2 linked regions of the Drosophila melanogaster genome follow. The protein of the gene in region 1 purifies or fractionates together with the protein of each later gene. This does not show direct contact. Each region holds a gene or a part of one and is shown in the gene's direction. Other genes may lie near its edges.

What was found.
Region 2: the proteins of Brr2 (region 1) and ecd purify together in Drosophila melanogaster (affinity purification with mass spectrometry; 2 studies listed by BioGRID, with this or other methods). This does not show direct contact.

The regions. Positions count from the first base shown.
Region 1 is NT_037436.4:15,959,109-15,972,178, reverse strand, and holds Brr2 (Brr2 U5 snRNP complex subunit), read left to right. Parts: upstream 1-4,306; 5' UTR 4,307-4,426; coding exon 4,427-4,471; intron 4,472-4,567; coding exon 4,568-5,263; intron 5,264-5,320; coding exon 5,321-10,064; intron 10,065-10,128; coding exon 10,129-10,303; intron 10,304-10,358; coding exon 10,359-10,641; intron 10,642-10,699; coding exon 10,700-11,185; 3' UTR 11,186-11,343; downstream 11,344-13,070. Other genes in the region: brm (brahma), read left to right, coding at 1-20, 94-885, 946-1,802; CG10516 (uncharacterized protein), read right to left, coding at 2,411-2,553, 2,619-3,180, 3,486-3,809; CG17032 (uncharacterized protein), read right to left, coding at 11,671-12,491, 12,796-12,913. UniProt on the Drosophila melanogaster protein: Catalyzes the ATP-dependent unwinding of U4/U6 RNA duplices, an essential step in the assembly of a catalytically active spliceosome. Plays a role in pre-mRNA splicing.
Region 2 is NT_037436.4:2,262,786-2,272,653, reverse strand, and holds ecd (ecdysoneless), read left to right. Parts: upstream 1-6,796; 5' UTR 6,797-6,878; coding exon 6,879-7,158; intron 7,159-7,231; coding exon 7,232-9,006; 3' UTR 9,007-9,073; downstream 9,074-9,868. Other genes in the region: yellow-g, read left to right, coding at 1-403, 1,515-1,711, 2,146-2,689; CG32302 (uncharacterized protein), read right to left, coding at 2,873-3,814; obst-I (obstructor-I), read right to left, coding at 4,125-4,784; CG13806 (uncharacterized protein), read right to left, coding at 5,187-6,050, 6,123-6,152; CG13807 (uncharacterized protein), read right to left, coding at 9,108-9,298, 9,360-9,681. UniProt on the Drosophila melanogaster protein: Required in both the follicle cells and the germline for oocyte development.

The DNA.
Region 1 (13,070 bases):
CGGCCACGGAGTTGTATCCGGTAAGTTTATCTTGTTAATTTTTTGGTATATTTATATTTACATTGGTATAATCTAATCTTTTTCAAATTAAAGGACCGGATCTGTATCGTGTCTCTGGCAAATTCGAGCTGCTTGATCGCATCCTGCCCAAGCTGAAGGCGACCAATCATCGCGTGCTGCTCTTCTGTCAGATGACCCAATGCATGACCATCATCGAAGACTACCTGGGATGGCGCCAATTCGGCTACCTTCGACTCGACGGTACCACGAAGGCCGAGGATCGTGGCGAACTACTGCGAAAATTCAACGCCAAAGGCTCGGATGTATTTGTCTTTTTGCTATCTACCCGAGCTGGTGGTTTGGGTCTTAATCTGCAGACCGCCGATACTGTAGTAATCTTCGACTCCGATTGGAATCCCCATCAGGATCTGCAAGCCCAGGATCGTGCCCATCGTATTGGTCAACGTAACGAGGTGCGCGTCCTGCGACTAATGACAGTCAACTCGGTGGAAGAGCGCATCTTGGCAGCAGCCAGGTACAAGCTGAACATGGACGAGAAGGTCATCCAGGCTGGTATGTTCGATCAGAAGTCAACGGGTAGCGAGCGACAGCAGTTCCTACAAACGATTCTGCACCAGGATGACAACGAAGAGGAGGAGGAAAATGAGGTGCCCGATGACGAAATGATCAACATGATGATCGCCCGCAGCGAGGAGGAGATTGAAATATTTAAGCGCATGGATGCTGAGCGCAAGAAGGAGGATGAGGAGATCCATCCGGGTAGGGAACGTCTGATCGATGAGTCCGAGCTACCCGACTGGTTGACAAAGGATGATGACGAAGTAGAGCGTTTCCACTATCAGTACGACGAGGATACCATTCTAGGTGAGTTACACTGCTCGCTGTTATTTAAACATTTTTCTTACGATAACTATTCCGCCTTAGGTCGAGGCTCCCGGCAGCGAAAGGAAGTAGACTACACCGATAGTTTGACTGAAAAGGAGTGGCTGAAAGCCATCGACGATGGCGCTGAGTTCGACGAGGAAGAGGAGGAAGACGATTCGAAGCGCAAGCGACGAAAGCGTAAGAATCGGAAGGAAGAGTCCGACGATGATTCGTTGATCCTAAAACGGCGACGACGCCAAAATCTGGACAAGCGGTCCAAGAAGCAGATGCACAAGATTATGAGTGCGGTTATCAAGCACAACCAAGATGGACGAACCCTGTCCGAACCGTTCATGAAGTTGCCTTCGCGGCAGAGGTTGCCCGACTACTACGAGATCATTAAGCGGCCAGTTGATATTAAGAAAATCCTGCAGCGCATTGAGGACTGCAAGTATGCCGATCTCAACGAGCTGGAGAAGGACTTTATGCAGCTATGCCAGAATGCACAGATCTACAACGAAGAGGCGTCTCTGATTTACCTGGACTCGATTGCCCTGCAAAAGGTATTCGTTGGGGCCAGGCAGAGGATAACAGCTGCAGCGGATGCAGCCGCAGTGGCAGCCGGAGATAACACGGGTGAAGCGCACGGCAATGGAGGTTCGGATAATTCGGACAACGACGACGACGATGGTGGCGATGACGGCTCCGACGACGAGGAGATTGCAACCACTTCAGCGGCGGCTGTCAAAATGAAGCTGAAACTGAACAAATCTCTGGCTAGTGCGCCCGCTACGCCCACGCAATCATCGTCGAATGTGAGCAGCGGAGCGGCTACCACATCCAAGAAGCAGACGCGTCGCAAGCGCTCCCAAAAGAAGTACACTATTTCAGACGATGACGACGATGACATGGACTAGCTACCGTTGGGAGTGATCTTCAAGCGCGGATCGTCGGATGTCGAAGGCATGGGCAATTGATTATTAATTAGTTTAAGTTTTACTTTCAAGGACGATGCTTACCAAAACCCTAGCCTACGGGTTTTTTTAACCATCTAACCTATCATGCTATCACTTTTATCTATACTAATTTTCTAGTTGTAGGTTCTCGATTAAGTTTCCTATTCAATTATTTTCGCACACACCATTTATTTCTCCCAATTCTATTGATTGTATAATTATGTGCTTTAAAATAAATGCATACCTAACATAAAGTAAATCGAAAAACTTGTCATTAATGGACGGCGGATTGCTCCTTGAGAGATTGTTCAACCTAGACCAGGCTGGAATTAGTAACAAAGATCTTATTTAAATCGGTACCTAAATGAATACATCGCTGCTAGCGTATAAAGGAAATGGTTTTAAATATATCAAAATGGGAAAATTATGATGTTTCGTTTAATTAATAAGTTGTATTTTAGGAAGTCTTACAGTAATTAAAATTAGCTTCAGCATTTCTACTTATTACATTTATAACTAAGCTCCTTCAAATAAATGCATACTTAAACATATTGATATGCTTGGTAAGACTAAAGCAGGTAGTGGAAGTACTCGTCGCACATCTCGTGGACACTAGCGGTGTGCTCCTCGTCGCCGCTATCACTGCTTCGCAACGTGATTTTGTGTGCATTGGCGTACAAGTCGTCCTCATCAACAGCCGCATCGTCGGTTTCTATTAATTGAAATTGCAAAAGTGATGTGGCAGAAATGATAGTGGACGTAACTTCGTGACCTCACCTCGGTACTTTTGTTTGCGCCTCAACCGTTGCTTGGAGCTTGAGAGCACTGCTTCGTCGCCCAGATCCAATTCGTTTTCGCGGGAGTTCCGGGAGTAACGAATTGGCGGTGCCAGGAACCAGTAGGATTGCATGATGCCTTTGAGACCCGGCATTTGACGCAGTTCGGCCAATTTGAGCGGCTGCCTGGACAATGCTTGGAAAGATCGCAGCTGCAGTGTGACTGGTTGCGAAGTGCAGTTGATCAGCCTAATTACGGACTTCGCGGCTGTGGAGCAGACCATGGGATATATTTTGACATCCGGATCCGTCGGGACATTGGTGTAGGCCACTCCCAGCGATCTGCGGTTCAAATAGAACTCCAAGTGCCCACGCGTTCGATCCAAACAGACACCAATCAAGCAGCCCTGCGAGAACTTCTGGCCGTAGGGCAGTAACTCGCCACAGTGCTGAATCCTTCCGGAATACGAAAAGCCCCAGGACTGGGCATTGGTGCCCAGGGCCGAGACAAAGTGAAACTTGAACTGCCCTAGATTAACGCTTTCCGTGCCGATGCCGAACATCTAGGAAAAGTTATAAGAAAAGAAAGGCAATTATAAAGAGAACATTATTTACATTGAACTTTAGCTGGCTTATCATCTAGTTGGGGTGTCTGCTGAGATTTCCTCCTCCCGCTGCGTCTGTTATCTTATCGCCGCGTTGTAATCTGTAATCCATAATACAACGAAGCGAACAATCAAGTCGTCTCCAATGGAAACGAGCACACCAGATGCCTGGTTAGTTGTGTTCTATTTTAAGGCGGCGACTTTGAGTGACATTCATCATGCTGAGCATCCCAACTAGTTGCCAAGCCGGCCTGATAACTAACCACATCCGTGCCGGCCAGAGTCGTGATGACGCGCATCTCCCAAAAGTGCACCATGTTTGTTTTTAGGGCCTGTTCCCCTCTCACAATCGCCGTGCCCTGACTGTAGGTGGGATGGAAGATGATGTCCCGGTCGGTGACCACGGCATCCGATTCATCAGTGGCGTGCCACCGCCAGGCATTCACGTTTCCGGACTCATCCTCGCCGCATTGGCACCTGACCAGGTCGGGTATATGGCCCTTGTGGTTGGTAACCTCAATGGAGTTGGGAAACGGGCAATCACAGAAGCCGGGATTGCAGGCTTCTTGGTACGGGGGCAGCAGCATGCTGGCACTTGTTCCTCTTCACTGGTTTACCTTCGATTGCTTTGTAATGAATTGTGTCAGCCGTGTACAATGATCTCGAGCAGTCGACGGACCACAAATGTTTCCAGTTAAACCAGCTGCAGCCTCATATATAAGCACATTACTCTGATCTGACTGAACAATAAACAAAACGATGCGTTGTAAATAGACGTCGGCATCGCTGCCGACGTCGCCGCCAGTGTGACCGAAGCCGCAGTTCGGAACTTAAAATATACTAGATATATCTCAATTATGAGAATTATGGTCAAATTTATAGCAATTTCTTTTGTGGATTGCTAGTGCGTAGGAAATTTTGGTGTTTACAAAAGCTAAAAAACCAGTATTCAAATTTTAAATAGAATGTTGATGGGCTACATTTTTAAAAACTTAGATGCGCGCGCTAACGATAGGTTTCCTACAAATGGCAGCCCTGATATCGATTTTCAGTTGGCTTCGCACATATGGCATCTCTTTAGCCTTTTGACAATCTGGCAGCACGCGTAGCCACAAACAGCGGCTTTTCACTACGATATTTCCGCAAAAAGTTGTAAAATAGGTTAATAAAAGTGCTTAATACTTATAAAAACAACTAAACAGACATGGCGGATGCCGCAGCACGTCAGCTGCAATACGAGTACAAGGCGGTAAGTGTCAAATCCCGCCCGGGAAAACTTCTCCCACTCCATGCGGCGTCTCACCAGAATTTCACAAACACGTTAAATGTATTTTCCATTTTTCAGAACTCCAATCTTGTGCTGCAAGCCGATGTCCGACTCATCGAACGTCCGCGCCGCGATGAGGCCACTGGCGAGGTGTGTTCCCTGGTGGGAAAGCTGGACGGAACAAGGATGGGAGATCGGTACCAGCGAACGAAGCCGGAGAAAACGGAGGAGCGCAAGGTGAAACGTCAGAAGCGCGACGAGGCCCAGTACGATTTCGAGCGGATGAAGGGAGCCACTCTGCTCTCCGAGGGCATTGACGAGATGGTGGGCATTGTGTATCGACCCAAGACCCAGGAAACTCGTCAGACCTACGAGGTCCTGCTCAGTTTCATCCAGGAGGCTCTGGGGGATCAGCCCAGGGATATCCTGTGCGGTGCCGCTGATGAGATTCTGGCTGTCCTCAAGAACGATCGTTTAAAGGATCGGGAGCGAAAGAAGGATATAGACAGCTTGCTGGGCGCAGTTACAGATGAGCGATTCGCTCTGCTGGTTAACCTGGGCAAAAAAATCACAGACTTTGGCAGCGATGCCGTGAATGCTTTGACTGCTGCTCCCAACAACGAGGAGCAGATCGATGAAACCTACGGCATCAATGTTCAGTTTGAGGAATCCGAAGAGGAGAGCGACAACGACATGTATGGCGAGATTCGCGACGATGATGCCCAGGATGAAGGAGAGGAGGCCCGCATTGATCACACACTGCATGCAGAGAATGTGAGTAATGTAGTTAAAATTGCGAATCCCATTTCTTATTCGTGTATCCCTTCCCAGCTAGCCAACGAGGAAGCCGCAAATAATGTAAAGAAAGAGCGCTCCTTGCATCCTCTGGACATAGATGCGTATTGGTTGCAGCGTTGTCTGAGCAAGTTCTACAAGGACGCCATGGTGTCGCAAAGCAAAGCCGCCGATGTGTTGAAGATCCTCAAAGATGCCGCCGACGATCGCGATTGCGAAAATCAATTGGTGCTTCTGCTGGGCTACGATTGCTTTGACTTCATTAAGCAATTGAAGCTTAACCGGCAGATGGTCCTGTACTGCACCATGCTCGCCTCGGCCCAAACGGACAGCGAGCGGCAAAGGATTCGCGAGAAGATGCGCGGAAATTCTGCGTTGGCCAAAATCCTTCGGCAATTGGATACGGGAAAGTCAGAGGATCAGGAGGAGGGCGAAGCACGGGGAAGCAAGCGTGGCAAAGGCGATGCAGAGGATGGTGGAGCGGCGGCTGCCGGGCAGGTGGCCGGTGTGCGACAGCTACTCGAGTTGGAAGAGATGGCATTCACTCAAGGATCTCACTTTATGGCCAACAAGCGCTGTCAGCTTCCCGACGGCTCCTACAGGAAACAACGAAAGGGCTACGAGGAGGTGCACGTGCCTGCACTGAAACCCGTGCCATTTGATGCCAATGAGGAACTTCAGCCTGTGGACAAGCTTCCGAAATATGTGCAGCCTGTGTTCGAGGGTTTCAAGACCCTTAATCGTATCCAAAGTCGTTTGTACAAGGCCGCACTGGACAGTGATGAGAATATGCTGCTGTGCGCCCCTACTGGAGCTGGTAAAACTAATGTGGCACTGCTAACCATGATGCGGGAGATTGGAAAGCACATCAACGAGGATGGCACCATCAATGCGCAGGATTTCAAAATCATTTACGTGGCTCCCATGAAATCGCTGGTGCAGGAAATGGTTGGCAATTTTGGACGACGTCTTGCTTGCTATAATCTGACGGTCTCTGAGTTGACTGGAGATCACCAGCTGACCAGGGAACAGATCGCCGCCACGCAGGTGATTGTGTGCACACCAGAGAAGTGGGATATCATCACTCGAAAGGGAGGCGAGCGTACCTTTGTGAGCTTAGTCCGGTTGGTTATCATCGATGAGATTCACTTGCTCCACGACGAGCGTGGTCCGGTGCTTGAGGCCCTGGTGGCGCGTACGATAAGGAATATTGAAACTACCCAGGAGGAGGTGCGATTGGTGGGCTTATCTGCCACACTGCCCAACTATCAGGACGTGGCCACCTTCCTACGCGTAAAGCCCGATAAAGGCCTCTTCTACTTTGATAACAGCTATCGGCCTGTGTCCCTGGAGCAGCAGTATATCGGTGTGACGGAGAAGAAGGCCCTAAAGCGATTCCAGGTGATGAACGAGATCGTTTATGAGAAGACCATGGAGCATGCTGGGCGTAATCAGGTCCTGGTCTTCGTACACTCGCGCAAGGAGACTGGAAAAACGGCCAGGGCTGTGAGGGACATGTGCCTGGAGCAGGATACCCTTGGTAGCTTTCTTAAGGAAGGATCAGCAAGCATGGAAGTGCTGCGGACTGAAGCCGAACAAGTAAAGAACACAGAGCTTAAGGAGTTATTGCCCTACGGCTTCGCCATTCATCATGCTGGAATGACCCGCGTCGATCGTACTTTGGTGGAAGATCTATTTGCTGATCGGCACATTCAAGTTTTGGTTTCCACCGCCACGCTAGCTTGGGGTGTCAATCTCCCTGCCCATACTGTAATCATCAAGGGCACGCAGGTATACAATCCGGAAAAAGGACGTTGGGTGGAGCTGAGTGCTTTGGATGTACTGCAGATGTTGGGTCGTGCTGGACGACCGCAGTATGATACCAAGGGTGAGGGTATTCTTATAACCAATCACAGTGAGTTGCAGTTCTATCTCTCCTTGCTCAACCAGCAGTTGCCGATTGAGTCCCAATTCATCTCCAAGCTTCCTGACATGCTCAATGCGGAGATTGTGCTAGGAACGGTCCAACATCTCCAGGATGCAGTTAACTGGTTGGGCTACACTTATCTGTACATTAGAATGCTGAGGAATCCCACGTTGTACGGAGTTTCCCATGATGCCATCAAGGCTGATCCTCTGTTGGAACAGCATCGTGCTGATCTCCTGCATACCGCAGCTTGCTGTCTGGAGAGAAGTGGCCTTATTAAATACGATCGGAAGACGGGACACTTTCAGGTTACTGATCTGGGACGCATTGCCTCTCACTATTACCTAACCCATGAAACCATGCTGACTTACAACCAGCTCCTTAAGCAAACTCTTAGTGAGATTGAGTTGTTCCGCGTATTCTCCCTATCCTCGGAATTCCGGCATATTTCCGTCCGAGAAGAGGAAAAGTTGGAGCTGCAGAAGCTCATGGAACGAGTGCCCATTCCCATTAAGGAGTCCATTGAAGAGCACAGTGCCAAGGTGAATGTTTTGCTGCAAGCCTATATCTCCCAGTTGAAACTGGAGGGCTTTGCATTGATGTCGGACATGGTGTTTATTACCCAATCCGCTGCCCGTTTAATGAGAGCCATTTTTGAGATTGTATTGACCCGCGGATGGGCTCAATTGGCGGACAAAACGTTGACGCTCTGCAAGATGATCGACAGAAGAATGTGGCAATCGATGACACCACTTAGGCAGTTCAAGAAGATGCCCGATGAGATTGCCAAGAAGCTGGAGAAAAAACACTTCCCCTGGGGCAGGCTTTACGATCTAGAGCCACATGAACTTGGTGAGCTGATTAGAGTGCCCAAGCTAGGAAAGACCATCCACAAGTTTGTGCACCAGTTCCCCAAATTGGAGCTCTCCACGCACATTCAACCCATAACAAGGGGAACTCTGAGAGTGGAACTAACAATTACACCGGATTTCCAATGGGATGAAAAGGTGCATGGCCAGTCGGAAGGTTTCTGGGTTTTAATTGAAGATGTCGACTCGGAACTCATTCTCCATCATGAGTTTTTCCTGCTGAAGCAGAAGTATTCCCAAGATGAGCACCAGCTTAAGTTCTTTGTGCCTGTCTTTGAACCTCTGCCACCGCAGTACTTCCTTCGCATTGTCTCAGATCGTTGGATAGGTGCAGAGACCCAATTACCAGTTTCTTTCCGACACTTGATTCTGCCCGAGAAGAATATGCCACCTACGGAGCTTTTGGATCTCCAACCGCTTCCTATTAGTGCACTCCGGCAGCCGAAGTTTGAATCCTTTTATTCGCAACGCTTCCCGCAATTCAATCCCATTCAGACACAGGTCTTCAACGCAGTCTACAATAGTGATGAGAATGTCTTTGTTGGAGCACCAACCGGATCCGGAAAGATGACTATTGCAGAGTTTGCCATCATGCGCTTGTTCACTACCCAATCCGATGCCCGATGTGTATATTTGGTCTCGGAGGAGGCATTGGCGGACTTAGTTTTTGCGGATTGGCATAGCAAATTTGGATCCCTGGACATAAAAGTGGTTAAATTGACCGGCGAAACTGGAACCGATCTTAAGCTCATAGCCAAGGGACAGCTGGTGATCACTACTGCGGATAAGTGGGATGTGTTGTCTCGCAGATGGAAACAGAGGAAGAACGTACAATTGGTGAACCTGTTCATTGTGGACGAACTGCAGTTGGTTGGTGGCGAAGAAGGTCCCGTTTTGGAAATTGTATGCTCCAGGATGCGATACATTAGCTCGCAGATTGAGAAACAGATCAGAATAGTGGCGTTGTCTGCATCGCTAACGGATGCCAGGGATGTCGCCCAGTGGCTGGGCTGTAATCCCAATGCCACTTTCAATTTCCACCCCAGCGTGCGTCCCATTCCGTTGGAGCTGCACATCCAGGGCTATAATGTCACTCACAACGCCACCAGAATTGCTACGATGTCCAAGCCTGTTTACAATGCCATCCTCAAGTACAGCGCCCACAAGCCGGTGATTGTGTTTGTCTCGTCCAGAAAGCAGGCCAGGCTCACTGCAATTGATGTTTTGACCTACGCAGCATCGGATTTGCAACCCAACCGTTTTTTCCATGCTGAGGAGGAGGACATCAAGCCGTTCCTCGAACGAATGACGGATAAAACTTTGAAGGAGACCCTAGCGCAAGGAGTGGCCTATCTCCATGAGGGCCTATCCGCCTCAGATCATCGCCTGGTGGAGCAGCTGTTTGACTCTGGCGCCGTGCAAGTAGCTGTTATCTCCAGAGACCTTTGCTGGGGCATGAGCATCTCCGCTCACTTGGTGATCATCATGGACACACAATTTTACAATGGCAAGAATCATTCGTATGAGGACTATCCCATTACAGACGTGCTGCAAATGATTGGTCGAGCCAATCGGCCGAACGAGGATGCGGATGCCAAATGCGTGCTGATGTGCCAGAGCAGCAAGAAGGACTTCTTTAAGAAATTCATCAACGAGCCGCTGCCCATCGAAAGTCATTTGGATCATAGAATGCATGATCACTTTAACGCCGAGGTGGTCACCAAGACAATTGAGAACAAACAGGATGCCGTTGATTATCTCACCTGGACGTTCCTCTACAGACGATTGACCCAAAATCCCAACTACTACAATCTGCAGGGTGTCACGCATCGCCATCTCTCCGACCATCTTTCGGAGTTGGTGGAGAATACGCTGAGCGATCTAGAACAGTCCAAGTGTATTAGCGTGGAGGATGATATGGACACGCTGCCACTCAATCTGGGCATGATTGCTGCCTACTATTACATCAACTACACAACTATCGGTATGAAGCATTAGATTTAAGTTTAGGCAATTGTCATCTTCATTTTCCTATCATTTTTTCCCAGAGCTCTTCAGTTTGTCCCTCAACAGCAAAACAAAAGTGCGGGGCCTGCTGGAAATTATTTCATCGGCAGCTGAGTACGAGGATGTTGTGGTCAGGCATCATGAGGAGCAGGTTCTGCGCACGCTGTCTCAGCGACTGCCCAACAAACTCACAGGACCCAATGAAACGGCTCCAAAGTAAGCAACCCATACATTTAGATCTTAAAAAGAATTTTACCAATGTTATTTTTAGATTCAATGATCCGCACATCAAGACCAATTTGCTGCTTCAGGCTCATCTTTCGCGATTGCAACTGGGACCTGAACTGCAAGGCGATACGGAGCAGATACTGAGCAAGGCCATCCGCCTCATTCAGGCCTGCGTAGATGTGCTGAGTTCAAATGGCTGGCTGTCGCCGGCTGTGGCTGCCATGGAGCTGGCTCAGATGGTCACGCAGGCCATGTGGAGCAAGGACTCGTACTTGAAACAGTTGCCGCACTTTAGTCCCGAGATTGTCAAGCGGTGCACAGAGAAGGTGAGAGTAACAACAAGTGAATCTCTAGGATTATCTCATGTTTCGTCGTATATTTCAGAAAATCGAAACCGTTTTCGATATCATGGAATTGGAGGACGAGGATCGCACTCGCCTGCTGCAGCTCTCCGATTTACAAATGGCCGATGTTGCTCGATTCTGCAACCGTTACCCCAACATTGAGCTGAACTATGAGGTGGTGGACAAGGATCGCATCAACTCAGGATCAACCGTTAATGTAGTGGTTCAACTGGAACGTGAGGATGAGGTCACTGGCCCAGTCATTGCTCCATTCTTCCCGCAGAAGCGCGAAGAAGGATGGTGGGTCGTCATAGGTGATCCCAAGACCAACTCCCTGCTCTCCATCAAACGGCTCACGCTGCAGCAAAAGGCAAAGGTCAAGCTGGACTTTGTGGCACCTAGTCCGGGCAAACACGACTACACTCTGTACTACATGAGCGATTCCTATTTGGGTTGTGATCAGGAGTACAAGTTTTCCATCGAAGTGGGTGACTTCCAGTCGGAAAGCGAAAGCGAGTCAGATTAGTTTTCTTTAGGATCATCAGTTGGGCATGTTTGCACAAATGAAAATCAATCATTTTACAATTTACGCGCATTAATTGTAGCAATAATAAATTCGTGTACTACTTTAGTAGAAACCAAATTGTACAAGGATACACTGAGGATAATTATATAAAGTAGTACAAAAAAAAAAAAAAACAAAATAAAAAAAACCTTTCAACTTTCTTTCGCTGGTTGATACCAAGAATCTAAATATTTTGTAGTCAACAGTGCCAATTCTTATATTGTCTTAAGCTTTTAAATTTCGTATGGAACAATTCAAGTTTGTTGTAATTTGTAATCTGGATCATCAAAATGCAACCGTTTAGATTTTAAAAAAATCATTCAAATTATTCATTCAAATTCAATTCAATCATAAATATTTATTTGGATTTTTTAGATATTTGCACATAGGATTGCTGACAAATAGATTAACTTGGAGGTATTTTCCCTGTATGGTGAACTTGGCTTTTAGCGGCTGACAGAAACTGCCGATCCATGGCTACTGCCACGATTGGCTCCTCCATTAGCGAAGCTGTTCGTGGAGCTAAAGTTTATTGTCTGTCCATTGGGAAGATGGTAAACCTGACTCAGCGAAGCACCTGCCGCATTATTGGATCCAAAGGGGCTGGTGTTCTGGGACTGAGTGGCCGTGCTTGCGGAGGAGGCACCGAATGATCCATTGGCACTCTGCGACTGGAAGCCCTGAGCCTGCCCACTGGCGGCCGAGGATCCTGAGTTGAGTCCATTGTTGTAGTTGCTGTGGGCAGCTCCGTTGGATGCGGCCTGCTCCTGGTTGTAACCACTGGGTCCGAGTGGTCCCAGCGGATTTAACTCGACGTTGGCATTGGCATTGCCGCCATCTGGTCCGGCACCAACATCAACACCCGCTTTGGTTCCCCCAGCGCCGGCCGATGTACCTGCCTGAACTTTTCCACCTTGATTACCGCCGAATCCGGGATTTCCTCCGAATCCTGGGTTACCGCCGAATTCCTGATTACCGCCGAAACCCTGATTACCTCCGAATCCCTGGTTGCCTCCAAATCCTTGATTACCGCCGAATCCACCTCCAAAACCAGGCTCTCCACCGAATCCGCCACCGAAGCCGGGATTTCCAGCATACTGACCACCAAATTGTCGCCCAAACTGACGCTTCACCCTCTTGTGAGCGGCCTGGATTCCGGATATTTGATCCAGGACCGAACGGACGCGACGCACCTGCGGATTAGACTTCGGTTTGATGTACAAGGCTGATTCCACCACTACTTCCTCGATAGTGGCGCCCTTGGAAGCTGTAAAATGCAATGGTATATACTTTATAAAATATTTTATATTTATTTTAATTTAATTAATAGAAGCTGAATAATCGGCAAGCTTATTATTAAAAAATTCGGAGCAATCTATTATTTTACTAAATATTTTACGCTTTGTTCGCACTACAGAATGTGTACATATGTATACACAAAAATTTATAGATAGATATGTATTTATATATATTTACAGAATTTCAGATTTGAAAAGTATTTTCCAAATGTATTTAGGAAGTTTTACAATCTAAGAATTGTAAGATTTTCGAGCGTTAAGAATTTTACTTACGCAAATCATCATCGCCGGTTTGAACCTGCTTCTCGTTGCGCTGCCTCAGTTGAGGAAACGCCGACGCAGCTGCCAGACAGATGAGGGCCACAAATAGCACCGGAATTGATACATTCATTTCGTGTTCTTCGATTAGATTGGTTGCCTTCTGGAGATCGCAGCTGGACACGTCCGTTGGCTGCGCCGCTTCGCGATCAACTGTTGGATGTATATATTTCAGCCTGTCCGCTCCGCCGCCAATCGGCCGATCAACTCTCACTTTCAATCGCCGTAGG
Region 2 (9,868 bases), about 14 Mb from region 1:
CTCCGTGGTCCTCGCGGGATACAGCTCCTCCACCGACGAGTCGACGGACGCCTCCAACTCCATTGGCGGCACCAAGTGCGACAAGAACCCGCTGAACGAACTGACCTTCCAGCTCAGCGGCAGCAGCCTCCACTGGCCCTGCGAGTCCACCAAGAACATCTACGTCCAGTCCGGCCGCTATGTGCCCCGTAACGTGATCGTGACCCGGGCCCAACTGCAGCGGGACTCCGCCTTCGTGGCGCTGCCCAGGTACAAGCAGGGCGTGCCCTTCACTCTCGGCAAGGTCAATCTAAAGAAGGGCGAGTGCCTGACCAAGATCGCACCCTATCCCTGCTGGGCCATTCAGGAGGAGGGCAACTGCCAGGCGCTGCAGTCCGTCGTGGACATAGCCGTCGATCAGAATGTGAGTGCAATTAACGCCAGTATTGTTTGGACCATTTTTTTTTTGGGGGTCAGACAAGTTGTCTCGTCCAAACTGCCAGTTCTGCCTTTAATTACGGACTGCTCGTTGTTGGCCACCATGGAGGCATAGCACTTTAACCCACACCAAATGTTTAATTCATATTTGTATCGTGGGTGGATTACAGGGTAGCATTGAAATGCTCTTAGGGCTATTCACTTTTTTTTTCTAAAAATGATTTAGTTTATCTTCTGATATTGATATTGATGTGCAGTCGCAGTGTTAAATATTTGCTAGCCCTTACAAAGTCGATCAAAATCGGGAGTTTAGCTCCAGGGTATCGTTTTCGCATTAACCCCTTGCCGGACGCACTTTTTTAATTGGTTAGCCTCGCTGTCGACCAAATATTACTTTTTTAATCAAATAAACGGGGCCACAAAAGTGAAGAGCTCCAAATAAAATTCATGCCCGTCAATTGGCGGCAGCAATTTAAGGGTAGAATAAACGGATACGGAAACGCCGAAAAAGCTGTGGGGTAAATGGAATATTATAAAGGACAAGGACTGCAGCTGAAAAGTGACAAGCAAATGCAGTGAAAAGTTCTCGAAAATAATTTTGGAAATGCTGGGAACAGGCCATCCAGCCGTGTTTTGTGCATTTCGATTGCACTTCAGAAGTTCTCAGCTTTAATTTTAAATGACAGATGCATTCGCAGATATTACAATGATGCTATTAAATATTTACATGACCTACTTACGATTGCGAGCATAAGCTGCAACTTAATAATTTCCTTCAATTATTGTTGGCGTCGAATCGTTCTCATTTAAATGCCATTCCCGTTTAGCTGCATTTATGCAAATCATTTCTTTATTTTATTTACACAAAAGTCGACGAAACAATAACAAACGGCAAACAAACGAGGCGACTGTATTTATTTATTTGCGCAATTTTCCATTCAGTGCTTTTCGCTGATACTCATTTTATGGCCACATATTTGCGAATGTGGAATTTTTAACGCCGCCAACATTTCAATTAGCCGCCAAATGAAAACATTAACAACAATCAACACGAGCTGCAATTGATAGCAATTAATAATTGCCTTCTCCGTTCGCAGGGACTTCTGTGGGCCTTGGACGTGGGCATTGTCAACACCCTGGAGCAGCCCATCCGCAGATGCAGTCCCAAGATCGTGGCCATAAACACGGCCAACCACAAGGTGGTCAAGAGCATCGACCTCAGCGACCTGGTCACCTCCGAGAGTCGGCTGCAGTTCATCGTGGTCGACTACTCCAAGGACAACAAGCCATTCGTGTGAGTTCCATTGCCTATACTCTTTTATTACCCTTAACTTCATCTGTGAAATGAGTTGTACTTAATCACTTTTTGAAATACATCAACTATGAAATTAATACCACACATTACATTATTATTAACCATTATTACTAACCATTATTTATCAGCACAATGATATTCAGAGATTCATATTGCAGTCATAAAATATTCGTTGAAATCATCGAACTGAATCAAGAGTTTGGAGTACTTTTACCACACACTTTCAATCATGCTTTCAATCAGCGATCATTGAGCCAATCAAAAGGGCATTAGCCACTTTGAGGCTCATATCTTATCTGCTCAAGGTAGTTCTCAGAAGTGTGGCTCATCATATACCAAATAAAATCGATTTGTATTGCATACATGATATCTAATCTCATTCCACATTATATTTCCTTCACTTTCAACCATAGCTATGTGGCCGATGCTGGAGCACGTAGTATCCTGGTATACGACATCACCGGCAACAAGTCCTACCGCATCGTCCTGCCGAAGGCCACCGCCCCCACCAGCGATGTGCTGTACGTGGCGCTCACCTCGAAGCCGGACGGCACCTCCACCCTGTTCTTCAGCTACCTGAGCTCCCCCCGTCTGTACTCCATCAAGGGCGAGTACCTGCGCGTTGGCCAGGGAGCGGGCTCCATCATCGACGTGGGCCCCAAGCCCTATGGCAAACAGGCGGTGCTGCTGGGCGCCGACGGCGGCACCTCGCTCTTCTTCCGCTACAAGGGCGAGAACGACATTTACCTGTGGGACTCGGAGACCTGCTTCAAGGCCGCCAATCTGCAGGAGGTGCAGCGGGGAGGCGACTGCCGGCTGTCCACCCAAGTGCTCCCGGGTCACAAGCGATTCATGTGGGCGCTGGAGAGCAACTTCCACGATTTCATCTCGGATCGCACGGGCTGCAACGGAGCCTCGATCGTCCTGCATCCTGTGGTGCGGGAATGTGACGATTGAGTCCGTATCCCTCCACTTTCTTAGGCTTAAGATTCAAACTGATTTGTTGTCGTTACTGGGTCTCATTAAAATTTTGGTGAATATTTATAGTTATTTGTAGTTTATCTTAAAATGTTCAGAATGATTTCAATTTTTTAAATAGGCATTTACTTGAATCAATATTGGTACCATGAAAACAATTCATTACTCTGACTCTGATTGGCACTTTCGAGTCTCAGCATTGAAATACTGTCCCATTGGACAGCTGTAGATCTGCAGCTGGTGATCGATGCATATGCAGTACTCATCCTTGGTGGAGACATTGGGACAGCTGAGGATCTCAAAGTCCGAGCACTGATAGATCCTATCAGTCACGCAGGTCAGGATCTTAGGATCAATTTGGAAGCCGGCGGGACAGGTCATCACCTCCAGTTCTCCATCGACGCACTTGCAGTACTCGATCTCAGAGGTTCGGAAGGGGCATTGGTACCTATCGTTGTTCATGCACGTGTGGGACTCCATCGCCTGAATGCTCCTCATGCTCCTGGTGTCGGGCACACAGCTGTAGCTGTTGAAAACGAATCCCTCGTGGCACTTCATCATCAGCGGATACAGCGAATTGGCCGTGTCATTGACGCAGACGTAGAAGTACCGATTGTCGGGCGCCCATCCACCCACTTGTCCCGACCGACTGCAGGTGAACTGCTCCTGGATGCACTGCTCACTCTCCCGTGGCAGAACACAAGTGCCCGTGAGTGTGGAGTAGCCCGCTCCGTTGGAGCAGATGCGAGGGGTGTCCACACTCTGATCGCTGCACTCGTGGTACCGCCTACAGTCGTACGGATCCGGGAACAGGCCCGCCTGCTGACAGCTGAAGGGACCTCTCTTGGGCACCTGGCACTGCGACTGGAAGGTGCATCCGAAGGTACCCTCGTCGCTGCAATAGAAATTGTACTCCGATTGGCAGCCCAGCATCGAAATCGTTTCCCAGCTGCCGGTGGCATCGCGGATGCAGTAGCCCAAGGTGGTGCAGTTCATGCAAACGAAGCCGGGAATGCGCACATCCTGGCAGGGATTATCATTAGCCCACGCCGATCCCAACGCCAGAGCGAGCAGGATTAGACAAACCGGTACTGAAGACCTCATCTTGAAGACTGTTGGCTGGGTCATCTGCGGGACTAGCTTTTATAGCACCACCTAATCAGCCAGGCAAGTGTCTTTTTCTTAATTAAACAGATAAGCTTCTCTAGGTATTATCGATTTGATAAAGAACCAAAATTTTACGACGTAATAATAAATTTAGAAAACTTACTAAGCGTAGCTAAAATTGTAATTATTCGAAGAGTATCATCGAAACTGCGAACTGATAAATCCGGAATTCATTGAAAATAGTTTAATCAGTTTTAATCAGTTTTATTCCAAGATAGGCTAGCTACAATAACTATAATATGTTGGGTCAACAAGTTCCAGTAACGCACGCAAAGGAAATTAGATTGAAGATGGTTCCTACCGAGCATCTGAAATACTCAATATCACTGCCCTTTTCGCGACAATGATAGTACCCAGAGCAGTCAGCGGGATCACCAAACAATCCAAGCCGCTGGCACTTTCCAGACGAACTGGGCAACTCGTCGTCATCAGATCCTGTGTTCAGGCAAATCTGCAGCTCGTCATCAAAGGTAAAGCCCGTTGGACAGTAGTTAAGATGCCATTTGCCATCGATGCAGAGGCAGAAGACATCGCTTGCCGTGCTGTTAGGACATGGGGATGGAGTATAATCGTCCTGGCACTCAACGCTTCCCACCCGGCAGACCAATCGGTTGGCATCGAAGTAGGTTCCTTCAGGGCATTTCCAGATCTGAAGGTGCTTATCTTTGCACACGCAAAACTCGTCCATTTCTGTGGCCATCGGACATTTGCCGATTTGGTGATTGGTACAGCTGGTAGTGTCTGTAGATACGCAGGCTTGGATAGTTTCGTTAAAGTAGTAATCATCTGGACAGGATTCAGCAGCTGCATCCAATCTGAGCTCCAGATAACTGCCGTTCCCCAACCCTTTTCCCGTTTGAAACAACAGAAAAGTTAGGAGGCAGATAATCAGGCGAGATGAATCCATGTTGCAAACTTTCTAAGTAGACCTCTTCACACTCCGCCTTATATAGTACCTCACAACCAAACGCAGAATGTTTCGGTATAATTAATAGATAAACTGCAATGTTGTCACGAAAAAAACATTCTATGGAACATTTATGACCTAGTCACAGCACTCTTAGCAAGAAAGAACCAAGACAGTACTAGTCCATTTCTATTGCACTTTTATTGGAAAAAAACAAAGAACTCATTCTGGTTTAATTACCCACGGACATGGTGGTTGAATCTTTATTATCAAACTGATACCTTTTGAAATGGGAATTCATAAATTCATGTCAAATAGATTGTTATTCCAGGGTAAACATGAGTTGTTTATTAAATGTAATCCATTGAAGAGGAATAAATAAAGTGCAGGAATGCATCTTCCTCAGCAGCTTCCCAGGACGCAGGAGGATAGCTCCGGTCGGTAGTAAGTCCCATTGGGGCAGTCCATGTGCCGCAGGGTGCCATTTAGAGCCGAGCAGTAGTAGTACTTCCGGCAGTCGTTTCCATCGGCCATCAAGCCCACGTGCTGACAGGTGTTGGGCAGCACCGAAAAGTCGTCGTCGTTGGGATCCTCGATGATCACCGAAGGATCATCGGTGCTGGGCGGCAGGACATTCGATCCGCTGCGGCAGACGTAGTCCACGAAGGTCTCGCCATCGTTGCACCTGTGCAGCGAGGGGTAGATGACGATGGTGTCGTTCAGGTTCTGGTTAACCGTCGACTTGCACACGTAGAAGATATTGGGATTGGTGGGCCAGGCGGCCACGTGTCCGGCATTGGGGCAGTAGTACTGTCGCTGCAGGCAGACGGAGTCAGTCAGGGTCAAAGTGCACTGGCCAGTCGTCGCATCGAAGGCCTTGTCGTTGCCGCAATCAACGGCAGCAGCCACCAGAGTGGCCCCCACGAAGTAGCACATGTGGTACTTCTGGCAGTCGTACGGATCTGGAAAGATGCCTTGCGAGGTGCACTGAAAGTTGCCCTCGATGCCGAACGGATGACACGGGCCCGTCTCGTTGGTGCAGCTCCCCAGCCGGGCGTTGCAGTAGTATCCATTAGCCACGTCGCACGATTCCACGGGAATGTTCACCCATCCGTTGGAGTGACGCACGCAGGTGGCCAGCAGCTCGCAGGACTCGCAGATGGGCCCGGGACTCTGACGGCCCTCGCAGGAGTTTGTCTCCCGCGGCTGGATGCGCCGGGTGGTAACAGTGGCTCCCATAAGCAGAGCCACCAGGTTGAGCAGTAACTGTTGGGCGGTGGGGACATAAAAATCAAATGCCATTCACTTAAGTTTATCCTATTCTGAAAAACTACCTACCACGCTCACTAGTATTCTTTCCAAGAACATGACGATGTATTTCCCCTTTTGGACTTTGTTTCTGGTTAGTTTAGGTCCAACTTCCACGAGAATCTTCGATTGTCTGATTCAGACTCATATGGTGACAGCAATAAAAGTCCCGAAATAGCAGACTTTAGATAGCGTTTTATATCTTTTGGGTGTCTGTTTGTCTATCTATCAACTTTGAAAAGGCGATGGGAGTTGGGCAAAGTGGCAAACGCAGCGGCGTTTCTAATTACAACAACTACGCGGATCGGAATGCCGCAATGATGGGTGAGTGAACGACATTTACTAAAAATTGGTCCAACTAGCTGGAGTGTCAAGTGGAGTGGGTGTTTAATGTGTAAACAAGTCGGGATTTTGTTTGGCCGACTTATTCAGAGCACTTTAAAGTGCTCTCGAGTAAATATTTAAATACCATTTCTTTCAATAAAACTGACCGCTAGCTTTTGTAAATATGCACTTTTAGTAAAGGAATTTAATGCCTAATCTTCGGTTCATACCTAATCTTCAATCATAAAAAATCGCTGAGAGAAATAACGGGAATGGGTTGGGTCACCGCTAAGCGCTTAGCCACGTCCTCCACCGCTCTGCTGAAGCGGAACCCTGCTGCGCGACCAGTGTGAACGAACTTCTTTGAACGATAGTCAGTTCGGAAGCACGCACTCATGTCGATAGTGTCACCTCGAACGCCCTAACAAATAAAAAAAAGGAGGAGGAGCAAAAGGACAAAGGATGAGCAAGATTCCAGGCAGCAATCTGGAGTTCGTCCGCGAGGAGGACTTCGTGGAGTACTACATCTTTCCCAAGATCCCCGACAACGTACAGGATGAGGGCGCGCTGCGCAAACTGATGCTTCAGATCCGCAACGAGATCTCGGCCATTGTAAGGGAAAAGTCCTTAGAGCGCAGCTATCTGTGGCACAAGGACGAGTTTCAGCTTCAGGTGAGGCTGGGCGGCGCCGAGGAGCGCCTGCTGAACGAGGAGACAAACCCGGAGGAGGAGGCGGAACTGGGTATGCGCACAATGTGCTATAAATAGCTTTGTTTCTGCAATTCGAAATCATCCATTTCCATGTCCCCGCCCAGGCGACCTCCCACCGCACTTCCACGGCGTAACCCACTATGGCGACAACATCAGCGACGAGTGGTTCGTTGTCTATCTGCTCACGGAGATCACACGTGCACGCGGCGACTGCATTGCACGGGTGAGCGATTCGGATGGCGAGTTCCTGCTCATCGAGGCGGCGGACGCCCTGCCCGACTGGGCGTCTCCGGAAACGTGCGAGCAGCGCGTTTATCTGGTCGGTGGTCACCTGCAGCTTCTCCAGAACTCCGCCGCCAGCAGCCAGGACAAGCCACTGACCATGGCCATGGCTGTGCAACGTATACGAATGAATCCCACCCTGTACCGCTGCTCGCAGGAGATACAGTCGTGCATTGACGCGCGGCTTAAGGAGTACCAGATCGCTCAGCCGCACTTCTCCATTCATCGCCAGGTGCTGGAGCTCCCGCATAGCGCTGCACAGCTTCTGAAACAGAAGCCAAGGCTGCTCTCCTCGGCGGTTAGGGCTTTCTGCGAGCGGGACTCGCTGGACATCAAGGCACTTCGCACCATGCGATATTTCCCACCGGAGGCCACACGCGTGCGCACCAACGTGCGTTTCACCCGCTGTCTGTACGCCATGTTGTCGCACCAGCAGTATCTGCCCGAGAAGAGACTCGGCTGGCATCTCACGGATCCTGTATCCGAGCCGGAACGATATAAGGAACAACTATTGGGCTTGAAGCTGGCCAGTGGACTGGAGATCCTGGCCACTCAAGCCAAGCGGGTTGAGGGCCAACAGCTGGAGGACCTTCCTGCCTGGCGATCGTATCTGCGGAGCTTGCTGAGCAAGGGCTACTTCCGGGACAACATCGAGGGCAGTGCCGAGTACCAGGAGCTGCTGAACAAGGCCAAGGTGTACTTTCGTGGCAACCAGGAGCGTTTCCGCACAGCCTCCAGAGCGGGTGCCGAGATCCTCGACCTGTTGCTCCATCCAGCGGAGGCTGCTTCCGAGGAGCTGCGCGATGAGGAGAACAACCTGCAGCCCAGCGACTCGGATGAGTGGTTGAATATCAGCGCTGAGGATCTAGACTCCATGCTGCAGGATCGCTACGGACCCAAGAAGCTCTACAAGCCGAACGGACAAATGAATGCCGAGGAGTTCACCAAGCAGCTGGCGGAGTTCTTAGATCGGCAGTCCAACTACGAGGGCATTGAGCACCGAGGGCTCGAGGAGCCAGAACTGGACTCAGACGATGACGAGCCGCCGCCGCAGGCAAACGGTTCCACAGGACTGACAGCAAAGGTCAAGAAGAATCCCTCCATGCGCAAGGCGTGCCAGCGCAATTCCGTCATCCAGCCGGAGGAACCGGACAGCACCCATGTGCGGAATTTCCTGGATTTCGTAATACCCGAGGACAACTGGGACTCCACCTCGGAGATGAGCGACTACGCGGACGAGGACGACATGGAGAGTAATCTAAATGCACTTTCTGGAGGCGGCAGTGTGTTCCCACTCGATCGACAGATTCAATCGTATATGGAGCAGATGGACCGCGAGTTGGCTCAGACCAGCGTGGGCAAGTCCTTCCACGGCAAGAAGAAGACAGCTCCACAGGCGGACGAGGACGATTTCGATGACATTGAGGACTTTGAGCCCATCAATATAAACGTAAACACGCTGCGCAACATGATGGATAGCTACCAATCGCAGGTTGGCGGCGCAGGTCCTGTATCCAATCTGTTTAGCGCCATGGGCGTGGGCATGTCGGCTGTCGAGGACAAGGAACAAAAGGATATATCTGAGTCGGCCGTTTAAGCGGGATTACAGGAATTAGTATAGTCTTAAGTCCATTAAATAAACGTCAATGTGAATATTTCAATGTAATGCAGAGTATTCTTATTTGATATATTCGATAACTAATCCTTGGATGCAGGCACAAAGTTTCCATAGTCGCGTCTGACCTTCATGGGTGGTTCGTTATTGGGAGTATCATTTCTCTGGTTATGATCATGGGAGCGCTTGTAGCCTCCAGATCCTCCGGACCCTCCGCCTCCTTCGTACCGATTCCGGCGATCGATGTGATCGTATCTGTTGTTGCGCCGGTTGTCTGTGGGAACAAATGCGTTGGTAAGCTATAAATAGAAACTGAGCTTCTTCCCGGGTATTACCCCTGAATCCCCTGTCCTGGTTGTTGTGGTAGCCAGCTCCTCCTCGTCGCTGCCAGCCCCTGTCGCCGCCTCCTCTGCGATGTCCGTTGTAGCGATTGTGGTAGGGATGACCACCGCCTCCTCCGCCCTGGAAGCCGCCTCCTCCTCCGCCACCTCCCATCCAGTTCTCCACAATTGGCGGCTCCGGCACAGGCTTGCTGCAGTGCGCCATGAACTCTGGGTCGTCGTCAGTGAAGCGGTCTGCGAACTCAAGCTCGCAGGACTCCAGGAAGTTCAGGTCCCTTTCGACCAGACGGTTTATCTTTCGGTTGGGATCCACCATTGTTTCGGTATTTATACAAATAAACTCCCTTCGACTGAATTTTTCAACACAGCTCAGCTGCGACAGCTGTTTATGTGTTCAGCTGCAATTCTGAAGTAACAGTGATTTGGTCAAGTCACGCTATCGAAATAAATACACCTCACATAAGCACACACATATATCGGAATCAATTCAGGTTAAGAGAGTT